Rattus norvegicus: one gene and its partners. The main gene of each other region encodes a partner of the protein of the gene in region 3 in a complex. Links are inferred from orthologs where the notes say so. Each region holds a gene or a part of one and is shown on either strand. Other genes may lie near its edges.

What was found.
Region 1: the proteins of Elmo1 (region 3) and Dock5 are in contact, whole or in part, in a cryo-EM structure (PDB 8JHK), measured with the Homo sapiens proteins. The link is inferred for Rattus norvegicus from reciprocal best matches to the Homo sapiens genes ELMO1 and DOCK5. Residues at the interface, in NP_001193409.1 of Homo sapiens: Ile7, Val8, Lys9, Ala11, Tyr18, Pro19, Leu21, Glu23, Glu36, Asp39, Gly40, Ser42, Asn71, Gly72, Gln392, Asp393, Leu400, Glu401, Lys468, Arg531, Glu535, Leu536, Lys539, Leu547, Gln550, Gln551, Asn554, Arg555, Asn582, Thr688; in NP_079216.4 of Homo sapiens: Met1, Ala2, Arg3, Trp4, Val14, Ala15, Ile16, Tyr17, Asn18, Ser22, Gln23, Gln30, Ile31, Gly32, Asp33, Thr34, Glu39, Tyr41, Gly43, Trp44, Arg46, Tyr48, Lys56, Ile58, Pro60, Glu61, Thr62, Tyr63, His65, Leu66.
Region 2: the proteins of Elmo1 (region 3) and Rhog are in contact, whole or in part, in a crystal structure (PDB 7Y4A), measured with the Homo sapiens proteins. The link is inferred for Rattus norvegicus from reciprocal best matches to the Homo sapiens genes ELMO1 and RHOG. Residues at the interface, in NP_001193409.1 of Homo sapiens: Lys9, Val10, Ala11, Glu13, Tyr18, Pro19, Leu21, Met22, Ala54, Asn71, Gly72, Ile74; in NP_001656.2 of Homo sapiens: Val36, Phe37, Asp38, Trp56, Tyr64, Arg66, Leu67, Leu70, Ser71, Pro73, Gln74.

Annotation. Positions count from the first base shown.
Region 1 is NC_086033.1:46,159,540-46,163,186, forward strand, and holds part of Dock5 (dedicator of cytokinesis protein 5), read right to left. Parts: intron 2,660-3,647; coding exon 2,491-2,659; intron 1,617-2,490; coding exon 1,478-1,616; intron 811-1,477; coding exon 710-810; intron 94-709; coding exon 1-93. UniProt on the Homo sapiens protein: Guanine nucleotide exchange factor (GEF) for Rho and Rac. GEF proteins activate small GTPases by exchanging bound GDP for free GTP. Along with DOCK1, mediates CRK/CRKL regulation of epithelial and endothelial cell spreading and migration on type IV collagen.
Region 2 is NC_086019.1:166,039,456-166,043,202, forward strand, and holds the start of Rhog (rho-related GTP-binding protein RhoG), read right to left. Parts: upstream 2,747-3,747; 5' UTR 2,721-2,746; intron 2,680-2,720; exon of another isoform or gene 2,425-2,679; intron 393-2,424; exon of another isoform or gene 297-392; intron 1-296.
Region 3 is NC_086035.1:49,305,098-49,308,744, forward strand, and holds part of Elmo1 (engulfment and cell motility protein 1), read right to left. Parts: intron 3,524-3,647; coding exon 3,401-3,523; intron 1,262-3,400; coding exon 1,130-1,261; intron 1-1,129. UniProt on the Homo sapiens protein: Involved in cytoskeletal rearrangements required for phagocytosis of apoptotic cells and cell motility. Acts in association with DOCK1 and CRK. Was initially proposed to be required in complex with DOCK1 to activate Rac Rho small GTPases.

The DNA of each region.
Region 1 (3,647 bases), on a different chromosome or scaffold from region 3:
TGGCTCAGAAGAGAGGATGCTTGATTTTCGAGCCTTTGGAGGGGGTGGAGGTGGGGCTTTGGCATCTCTCCGGACAGGCAGCGGGGGAGCAATCTGGGGAGAAGACACATGGAATTAGAAACAGTTCCTTCGTTATTTCTAAGTCACCCTCCGACTCCATGCATCTGGGTTACTGTCAAGTTTGATGTGCATTTATTTATACCATCTGTATGAGAGAAAAAGGGAACGGTACTCATTTGTCCTCTTCCCTTGAGCTTGATGAACGCACACACACACACACACACACACACACACACACACACACACACACACACACACTTACTCATGGCTGCATCACTAGTGTTTGGGTAGCTCGAATGTACTTAAGAAGCACTTAGTAAATATTTACTGAAAGGAGGAATGAAACCCATCTGAGTCTACTGCAGAGCAGCCGCCTGTCATTCAGAAGCCAGGCTTTGGTGTGAACTTATCTCACCACCAGCTGTGGGAAGCAGAGAGCGCGGCTTCTCTCGGTCACTTGACTATGTGAAGCAGGCCTCTGGCATGTTTCCCTTCCCATCTCCCGAGGCTTCAGGAGTGAACCAGGCACTGGATATATAATGCCATGTGTAGGGGAACCCCTTCCCACTTCACAGCGTGGACAATCCCGTGATGTCTTCCCAGGCGTTGTGCTTGGTGGCCACACTGCCAGCAACCTGCAGGTTCCTACCTCAGCCGAGTTCCTCTGACTGCTCTCGTATGGTTTGTTTTTGGGGGGAGGTGGAGGAGGGACAGAAGCCATCAGCCCATCCGTCTGCAAAGATGGGGAGCCTGGACATGATACAAAAGAGACGGAGTGAGGACTTACTCAGATCCCACATTGCTGTGGACATTTCCGAGGTTTCTATAGAAAGAATGGAGAAGATCTTGTACCCACATGGCCACAAGTGCTCTTTAATCCACCAGAAAGCCTCACATGGAATTCTGATGTGCACACTCCTATGCTTCCTCTTAAGTGGACGATGAGAATATTTTCTAACCTTAGGAACTCTCTGACGAACCCCAAGTATTTAGGAAATACACAGGAGCTGCAGGAACCTTCACTTGGCTGTACCTAACTCTTGATCATTGTCCCTATTTGGCACTGGCAGATGTGTGCTCCCTATGCCTCTGTGCCATGGGAACCCTTGAGTTTGTTCCAAGTGCTGCAGTTGGTTGGTCTCAGGTTGACAGAGGTTTATTAGGTGGGTCTGTTCATTGCCCTGAATGGGTCTAACTCTGCTCTTCGTGGTTGGAAAGGGTCAGCAGACCCTTAGGACTGCTACTGAATAAGTGTACCCCAAATTCCAGTCCTTTGATGATTCCAATGGCCACTGGACGGAATCACCTCTCAAACAGCTTCACACAACTTGTGACTGCTTTGATTAAGAAGTGCCTGGATTCATGGCCCTTCTCTATTCCCTAGCCGAACGAATCTAGGAGACATAGGAAAACTCACTTAGGGTTCTCATGGCTTTGGGAGTGAGTGGAGGTGGGCTCAAGACTGTAGACTGCAGAGGTGAGGGACTGTGGAATGGTGTCAGCCGGCTGTCCACCAACTGGAGACTCTTTGGCCTTTGTGTTTTTTTGCCTGGGCTCTGAAGATGAAGGGAGAAACCAAAAAAATTAAACATGGCGGACATGGCTGACCTTAGTAATACCTTAGATGCTAGGCAGAAACTAACAGAAAGGGTTAATTCCAATGGCCTCTTCTTTCTGTTCTCAAGTGTGTGTGGGTGCAGACACATGTGAGGGCCAGCTTCCCTGGGTTATCTGACTCTACTATATAGCTGAGCACACCGCTCAGTGTCTTTAGCCAGGCACTGAAATTGCACGCAAGCCGTGACATCCACCCACTCCTCACACTTGCTGTGGCAAGTGTTTACCTACTGACCCTCCCCACCCTCTCCAGTGGTCACTTTTAAGGTTACTGCATTGTTACATAGTAGGCGCTTGGCAGAGATACTTTCTGGGAATGACTCCAAAATACAGGTCAGTTCTGGCCTGGCCCCTCCTTGATTGTGACCACACACACTGAGCCAACTAAGTTGGAAACTACCTTGACTCTCAGCAAAAGCTAGGTCTTGCAAACACAAGAACTTGACTATGGAAGAGGAAAAAGTGTCTGTTTTAAAGTTCAAAAGTGAAATGAAAATGTTTGCACTGACTCATGGAACACAGTGGCAAGAGCCACAGTTTCAAGAGCAGCCCATGTGTTTCCGCTGTGGGGATGAGACCTTGTGCAGTGTTGACTTGGAGACTTGAGCCTCTCTGTGTATGCACTTCTTCCTACCATCTGTGCTTTGACACCAGCACAGGCTGCTGTGTCCTAAGACCAGCTGCGGCCAGGTTTTTATCTATAATTCACTGCTGTGCAGTGAAGGAACAGGTACCAGCGGTGTTTGCTTGCTCTGATCCCTCCCTCCTTCCCTCCCTCCTTCCCTCCCTCCCTCCCTCCCTCCCTCCCTCTACCATCATATCAGGTTCTGGAGCTTTCTCTGCAATGACTTGTGACTTGCTCAGACTCCAGTCTTTCCTCTTGAACTTGCTAATCCGGTTCTCACTGTCTTCTTTGGGTGGCAGATCTTCAACTCTGGCACCTGATGAAGCTCTTCGTTCAAACAGTGGTTCCAGGATGGAACTGTCAGCCGGGAAGGTCAAAAGTCACAAAACATTAATCCCAGTAAAAGACTTCATTCCAATGCACTAGCAAAGCCCTCAACTCCGTTTTTGCCTAGCTTCTCAGGTTCCCAGAGTCTGATGACCAAACAAACAAGTCAGGGTAAAAATACAGAAATGAGATTATCATATGAAAGGGAGAAAATATTAGTGAATGTTTACTGTACTGGTTGGTTTTGTGTGTCAACTTGACACAAGCTGGAGTTACCACAGAGAAAGGAGTCTCCCTTGAGGAAATGCCTCTATGAAACCCAGCTGTAAGGCATTTTCTCAATTAGTGATCAACGGTGAGAGGGCCCACTGTGGGTAGTGCCATCCCTGGGCTGGTGGTCTTGAGTTCTATAAGAAAGCAAGCTGAGCAAGGCAGGGGAAGCAAGCCAGTAAGTAACATCCCTCCATGGCCTCTGCATCAGCTCCTGCTTCCTGACCTGCCTGAATTCCTGTCCTGACTTCCTTTGGTGATGAACAGCAATGTGGAAGTGTAAGCTGAATAAACCCTTTCCTCCCCAACTTGCTTCTTGGTCATGATGTTTGTGCAGGAATAGAAACCCTGACTAAGACATTTACCCTCTCCCCTGTGTGTTATATATTTGTTCTCTTGTGGGTATGTGCACATGTGTACATGCCACATGCAAGCATCTGAAGGTCAGAGGTCAGCATTGAGTATCTTCCTCTATCACTTTCCACCTTACTTTTCAAGACAGAGATGCTCACAGATTGGCTGGATTGGCTGGTCAATGAGCTGTCAGAATCTGCCTATCACCATTCAACTCCAGCACTAGGGTTCTATATGTGTGCTGTCACACCTGGCTTTGATCTGGGTGCTATGGATTCTAACCCAGGTCTTCCAGCTTGTACAGTAGGTGCTTTACTGATGAAACCATCTCAGGTCCTATCAATATTTACTCTTTCCTGGGAAGAGAGAGGGACAGGACCCATAGAGTACGAGT
Region 2 (3,747 bases), on a different chromosome or scaffold from region 3:
CCCTTCGAAGGTCCTCTCACAGACCCCTACAAACCTCACCTCTAATGGATCGACGCTACATGAAAGAAGAGGTTTTTCAGACTGTGCCCAGCACCCTTCTGTATTCTCTGTTCTCCAGCTACTATCACCCGTATCTTCACAGCTGCCCATATAACCACAGCCTTTTGTATCTTCTTGCTCATAGCCCCTCAATAGCTACTATCATCTGCCTTAACATCTTCCCTGAAGCGACTCTCCATAGCCCAGACTGCTAAGCAGGACGAGCAGCATCGTCACCCTACCACTTCTCATATTACCTTAACCATCCACAGCGTTTTCCTACTTAGATTCCTCCCATCCTGGTCACACTCTTCTTGCAATTAGCTCAAATTTCCAATGTGGCCAGATCTTGCCTAAGAGAAAAAAACCCTGTTACTGCCACCATTATCTCTGCTCTCGGAGCCTTGTGGGTTGCTTAGTTATACCAAATGCTAAACTCAGTACTGGTTTGTCAAGCTAAGAATCAGGGCTCCTGACGACTTTTATTGAGCTGTGATGCCAAGAAAATGTGCCGTATGCACATCCTTTCCCGAGCTGGGATTTAATACAGATCCCTTGGATTTCCTCCGTGGGGCCAAACCTCTGTACCTCCCAGAAATGAGAGTAGGAAAGACAGGTGGAGAAGGGCAGGCCCAGAGGAAGGAACAATTGATGGGAGAGGGACAACTGTGAGGTGGTAAGAGGATAGGAAAGGGAAGGAGCCTAGCTCTTAAATTTAGCTGTGCTCGACGATCCCCCAAATGTGACATTTGCTCTCCTCCACTTCTCTTTATTCTCATGGAGAGAAGAAGAGCAGTGGAGGCAGAGACAAACAAAATCTGAGCATGTAATCCAAAGGCTGAGGAGGGGCTCCAGAATGGAGACAAGCACTTACAGGGCCAGGACAGACTACGTTAGACTTTGGAGAAACCCCTCAGAGAGCGGGAATAGAGACCTTGGTAAGAAGAGAACATCACGGATGCTTAAAGACAGGAGGGTCAGTACAACTCCCAGTGAAGGCATTGACACACACCAGAAAATGTAGATACCCAATGTCTGCAGTCCCCACCGAGCAGCAGGGAGGAAGGACAAACACCCTTGCCTCGAAGCCCTTTCCTGATCAAAATTTTAAAAAAACAGTAGAGACTTAAGTTAGACTTGCTGCAGCTTTCCCTCCAGAATCTTGCCTTTGCCCCCTTCCTTTTCCTAGCAGACCAAATGGCCCAACACACTCTCCCCACTCCTTAGAATCAGTAAGTGCTAGGAGACTGGGAAGAATCAGGGTAGTTTGATTTCCCATGGACTTTCTAACTAGTCTTATTCTTGTGTCACTCAACTCTGGCTGCTACAGACTGCTTCCCCTGCCTAACCACAGTGTCACCCACCGCAGGTTCCCTTCATTCTGCCGGCTTCTGCTCTGGGACTTCTCAAGGCTGAGGGCAGATAGTTATTTTGTCTCTAAGAGATAAAGATGTTGACACACCAGAACTTGCATGTTCACGCGCGTGTGCACATGTTTCCAGCCCTTTAATCATCTCCATCCTTGGAAGGCTGCAGCCAGCATCTCCACTAAGCTAAAGAGGCTCGAAAAAGGCTCCTAAAGTCAGCAAGTCTAAAGCAGTTTCTGACACCAAAGTTAGAGTACAGACCAAGGAAAGGAGAAAGACTGAGGGCGGCAGGGAAGACAGAAACAAAATGGGGAGAGATGTGTGTGGCAGTCAGAGGATGGGAAGAGATGGAATGGGGAGAGAGCAGAGAACTGAGCAGAAAACAACAGGGCAGAGTAAATGTATCAGGGCCTGCATACATCAATGTGGCTGGGGGAAAAGAAACTGAAGGAGAATGTGGTAGACACGAAGGAGAGTGGAGGAAGACAGTATGTGGAATTCAGGTGAGGGAGACGTCTTAAGAGCTCTCAATCATTCCCCTAAGTCAGAACTCCAGCTGCTTCTCAAAGTCCCGTAAGTTGTCAGCGACTATCGGTATGGAGGCCCTTTCCTTCCTAGGTTTATCCGGAAAAAAAAAAAAAAAAAGCAAGGCCAGATTGAGTCAGATAGACACAACAGACGTGTTCACTAAATACCTGTTGTTGCATGGGATAGGAATAAAGAGGTTGGCTCAGAAAAAAACTGAGAGAGGGAATGGGGATTCCCCCACCTCATCCTCAGCAGCAACAGTGTAGCTATGGACTGGCTCCGACCTTCCCGGGTGAGACCTTTCTCTGCAGTCTCAGACTTCAGAGGCCCCAGACACCGCCCCCCAACCCCCACACCCCAGTCTCACAAATGTCACAACTGCAGAGCAGAGAGCGCGCCTTCTGCAGCCCAGAGGCCCTTTCCTTTCACACACTACTGAACAACCCCCCACAACTTCGGAGGGCACCCCACCGCAGAGTCCCAGCCTCACCAGCTCAGCGCTTTCCCACTTCCGAGCCTCTCACGGTTCGGATCTCAGGGGTCCCTCGCAGACAGCAGAAGCCCGCGCTGTCCCTGGGATCCCACACTCAACCCAGCCACCAGCGATCGGCTCGCGGTGGCCGCTGTCCCCGCCCGGCCTGCCGCGCCCGCCCAACTTGCAGTGAACGAAAACCTCCCGCCCTCGTCCTCCCTCCTGCAAACTCCCCGGCTCGTGGGTACTCAGTCCCGACCGGCTGAACTCTTCTTCCCAGGACCCCTGCCCACCAGGCCCGACCCTGGCCTCACCTGGTGCCCTCCCCGCGGCGGGGGAGCTGGGGGCGGCGGCGGCGGCTCTGGGCTCAAGAAGGAAGTGAGAGCTGGAGGCCGGAGGAAGTGGGGGGGTGGGGGACGGGCCGGCGGGGCCGGGGCGGGGCGCGGGGGCGGGCCGGCCCGGGCGGGGCGGACCAGGAAGTCCGCGGCCTCCCCCACCCTCCACAGCCTGGGGTCTTCTGTAAGCTTTGCCCGCCGCACAGTCCTGCACCCCCTGCTTCCCGCCACTCTTCTCCCTGAGACCCCTTGAGTGTGGCCTCTCAAGGTCAGGTCTCCCCACTTTCACTTGGCATCCCACCCTAGCAGGGGCCCTAAGCTAGGCGCAGGGCATTTGTTCTCTTCCTAGTATCTCACTCCCCGCCCCGCAACCTCCGCGGGAAGGCTGAGAAATGCCTTCCGCTCTGCCCGGGAATCTAGAGGTAGCCATGGCTGGCTAGGGATTAGCCGGAATGGGTCAGGCTGGGGCAGTCCCCACCCCTGCCCTGAGCCTTGGGAGAGTGCCGGGTGTTGGTGATTCAGCAGTGGGAAGGTTCCAGACCCCTGGGGAGGGTGGGGAGATAGAGGTGGGGGCAGGGCAGCTGCCGTCAGCACCCCGGGAAAAGACATGATCAGCAGAGATGCAGGCGGAGCCGCGCGGGCCCCCAAAACAGGATGTCGTGTCGTGGTTCCGCACCTCGCGGCTCCGCGGGGCCCTGGGGAGGGGGCGGGGCGTGGGAAGACGTGGGGCTCTTCTTGTTCCCTGATCTTGCCTTGGCGCGCGGCTGCTTGGAGCGGTAGGACCGCACCCAGGCTTGAGGTCCGGCCTGGGCCCTGGAGACAAGCGAGTGGGCGGCCTCGTGGGCGCCCTCTGGTGCTTCCAACCCAGGCCTTGGGCGCAGAATTTTACTGGAGAATCAACATTTTTTAAAGCAATTTTCTGGGTGCTCTACCAAGTGCAGAGCTCCGCAAGGTGCAGTGAAAACAGTTCGAGATAGACAACCCGTCTTACAGAGGCCCTCCAAAT
Region 3 (3,647 bases):
CTGCAAAGGTGGGGAGGTGGCATGAAAGACACAAAGACACATGAAAGTCTCACCAGTCAACTCAATTCATCTACAGTGTCAAATGGACAGGCAAAACCAAAGATGTAACACAGAGAAATAAATAGTGCCCAAAAGTGTTCCTAAGAAAGTTGCAAGGATGAATGTGTTATTAATAAATATTCTACTCAGAAAGACATTAACACCATAAAATCAATAGTTTGAACTTTTTTAAATTAAAGAGACATTATTACAAAGTTGAAAAATGGTCACTTTGATGTACTCTAGATAAAAAGCTAATTACTAGATGCTTATAACAAAGCAATTTCGCACAATCAAAACCCTATCTGAGGGTTTGTTTTGTTTTATTTGGAGAAAAATGTATCTTAAATAAAAACTATTGCCTAGTATTTTCTAACCTTCAAGCCAGCATACTATTTGTATCATTTATGTTGGAGGCCAAAATGGAAACCTAATTTGACAACTGCGGAATTTCAAGTTAGCTAAAGGTCATTCTCAGAACAGTGATGCTATCCCTAAGCAGGCAACAACCACGACAGCTGGTTAGATTCAACACATGTTGCATTCTGATTTGTAAAGTGTGTGTGTGTGTGTGTGTGTGTGTGTGTGTGTGTGTGTGTGTGTGTAAGGAACAACCCATTAACATCTGAAGCAAGATAAGATGTTTTAAGAAACATAAACTATATATAATCTCATGATGACTCAACTCCAGACTTCCAGCTTTCTTTAAATATGGAATCAATGCATCTGCATAATCCAATCACTAGCCCAATAATAAGAAGCCTCCTAGAACTGTCATCTTTCATTCCACTCAGGAGAACCATGGAGGCTTTTGAAGGAGGCTCAGGAAGGCTCGATGTGTTCCAGCCTAACTGCTCTCCATGACACTTAATCAGAACTGGATAAACAAGCGAAGGATTAGTCACACTTGTGCAACGTATTCCACTGCACCGCAGCCAGAAGAGATTTCCATGTGATCCTATTTAAACCAGCTAAACATCTGGAAATGTGGAAACCATTCTGTAAAGCACAAGAGGACCACACGTTCGATACGACTGAGGTCAGATGGGGAGGGTGGGAGGGGAGAGCATCCTGGAGACAGAGTACTTACAATGAAGCCAAGTTTTTTATAATCCCGAGTGTACATGGACTTGCGTTTCTCCATGCTGCCGCTGCTATTATTCGGTTCTGACTCTGCATCAAAAGCAATCCTTCGAAGTTCAAATATGATGTCCCTTTGGGCCTAAAGGCGTTAGAGGGGTGAAGAAAAGAGGCAAAAAGTAAGAAAGTTGCTTTCACTGTGTGTGACAGAAGACTCCCCCCTGACCTGTTGCCCAGAGTCTAAACCAGTCACTGCATTCAGGCGAAGCAGAAGAGAGAAGACAAGACGCGTCCTCAGTGAGAACCCAGACTCCTCTCTGCTCAGGCTCAGCATTAATCTATCCCTCAGTCAAGCCATTTGGAGCAATGATAAATATTATCTAGGACGGTCCTACATAAAAGCCTCAAATACAACAGAAGGACTGATGTTGGCGAAGGCTAAACGTGAGAGTGTTTGAGTAATATTCTGTTTGAAACAAATTAAGAGATGTTCACATGGCTCTTGGGCAATATTTTAACTATGAGAGATCTCTCACTCGACCGAGGCCTGACTTCATGGAAACAAGAACAAGATAAAAATAAAAGAGAGGGCCCAAAGGCAGAAACAATGGCAAGTGTTTTTCCAAGGTTGAGTGTGGTGTTGGGATGTTGTTAGCCTTAGCCAGGAGCAAATTATCAACATATTACCATAGGGAAGAACTTTACAAATTTGCAAAGAGAGTGTGTCTCCTAGAAATGTCAGGGACGCTGCGCCTATGAAGTACCACCAACAGGACTGCTTAAAGAACACCGGAACAAGGATGACACCAATGGACATGCTAATGTGGAGAAGGAGAAAGGTAACTAAGGATGCTAACAGAAAGAGAGATCATCTTCCCCTGGTTATCTAAGACCAAATGTCCAGCCCAGAAATCACATATGAGTGATATTATATGGACTGAACGGGTTGTATTTATGTATTTAGAAGTTCACATACAGATACTTATATACATATGTAACAACATCTAAAGAAAAAGAGGCCATGAATTTAAAACCAAGGAAGGTCAGTATATAGGAAGGGTGGGAGAGATGAAAGGAGGAGGGTAATAATGTAATTAAATATGCTACAATCTAAAATACAAAAAAATATAATAAAAAATTAAATAGGCCGAGTAGAACAGGTGAGATAGAAAAAGCCACAAATACATTTTTTACTCATCGAGGCCTCCTAGAAGAGCCAAATTAATAAAAACAAGAAGCAGAGGGGTAACTTATAAAGAGCCAGAAGGATGGGAGGAACGGGAAGGAGAGCAAATATGGTTTCAACGGGCACAGAAATTCAGTTTGGCAACACACAAAGAGGCATGGAGATAAATGCAGGGAAGTTATAACAATGTGAATGCAGTTAGTGATTAAAATGATTAATTATGCTATGTGCTTGTTTTTTCAATAAACAAGAGGAAGCATTTACAAATAAAGAGTGTTGCTCCATGTTAAGAGTACCGATCTCCCTCACTCCAAGTAGAAAGATAACTCGTCTTATCTCCCTCAGATTACCATGTTTGGCTGCCAGAAAAAAAGCATGGGGCACAATCATTGGCCTATCCAAGCACCTCGTCAGTCTCAAGCCATGAATGAAGGGCTGCAGCAGCCACACGTCCCACATGTGCAGCTCAGCATCTGCAGTAGATCAGGCCCTCATGTGCCAATAATGACTGTTTTCCTTTCCACAGCTGCACCACTGTTTGAGTTGAAAATGAGTACAGTGGGGGCAGGGTTCCCAGCTGCTTCCTCTCACTCTACCCTCACGCAGGGAAGCTCCCCCAAAGCCTTCTGGATGGAAACAGAATGTTTTGTACACAGTGACGGAGGTAGCCGAGAGTTAGAAAACTTGTCAGCCAACAAAAACACCAGCCTAGAAGTGAGGGTGCACCAGGGACAGGGAAGAACCGCCTTTGGTCTTAGTAACTGGAGAATGGAAACCACTCCCACTTGTAGAATTGATGCCCTCAATGGGAACTTGACCCCACTTAATGTAGTATGGTCAAGTATGGCTTTGACCTCAAGCTCTTAACTGTAAAAAAAAAATATGCATGTGTATGGGACATATGGAATAGCCCATCTGTTTTATTCTCTGATGCTAGGGTCACCTAAATTCTAAAGCCATATACCCAAGTTCTGAGATGTTGATAAAACAATTATAAGATCATATAAGACTCCTGATTTGAGTGTCACTAAAAGGCAGACATTTGATGCACTGTCTTGCTGTTTCTCATTATATTTGTGTGGATCATTCACCTACCTGGTCCTGGGGGTCCATCTTGGTCATCATCCTATCTTCCAGAAGGTTAAAGGTCAGCACTTGGAGAACATATAACTGGTGTGCCATCTCGTTGTTGATGGCCCGCTGTGCTCGGATGACATGCTAGAGACATAGTTGACAAATTACTTTTTAAAAAATTATTAAAGGAAAGATTCGGATCACAAAGTTAACTCTTGTCATGCTTCTTAAGTTCTAACACGTGAGAACTTCCTTACCCTGCAGAACC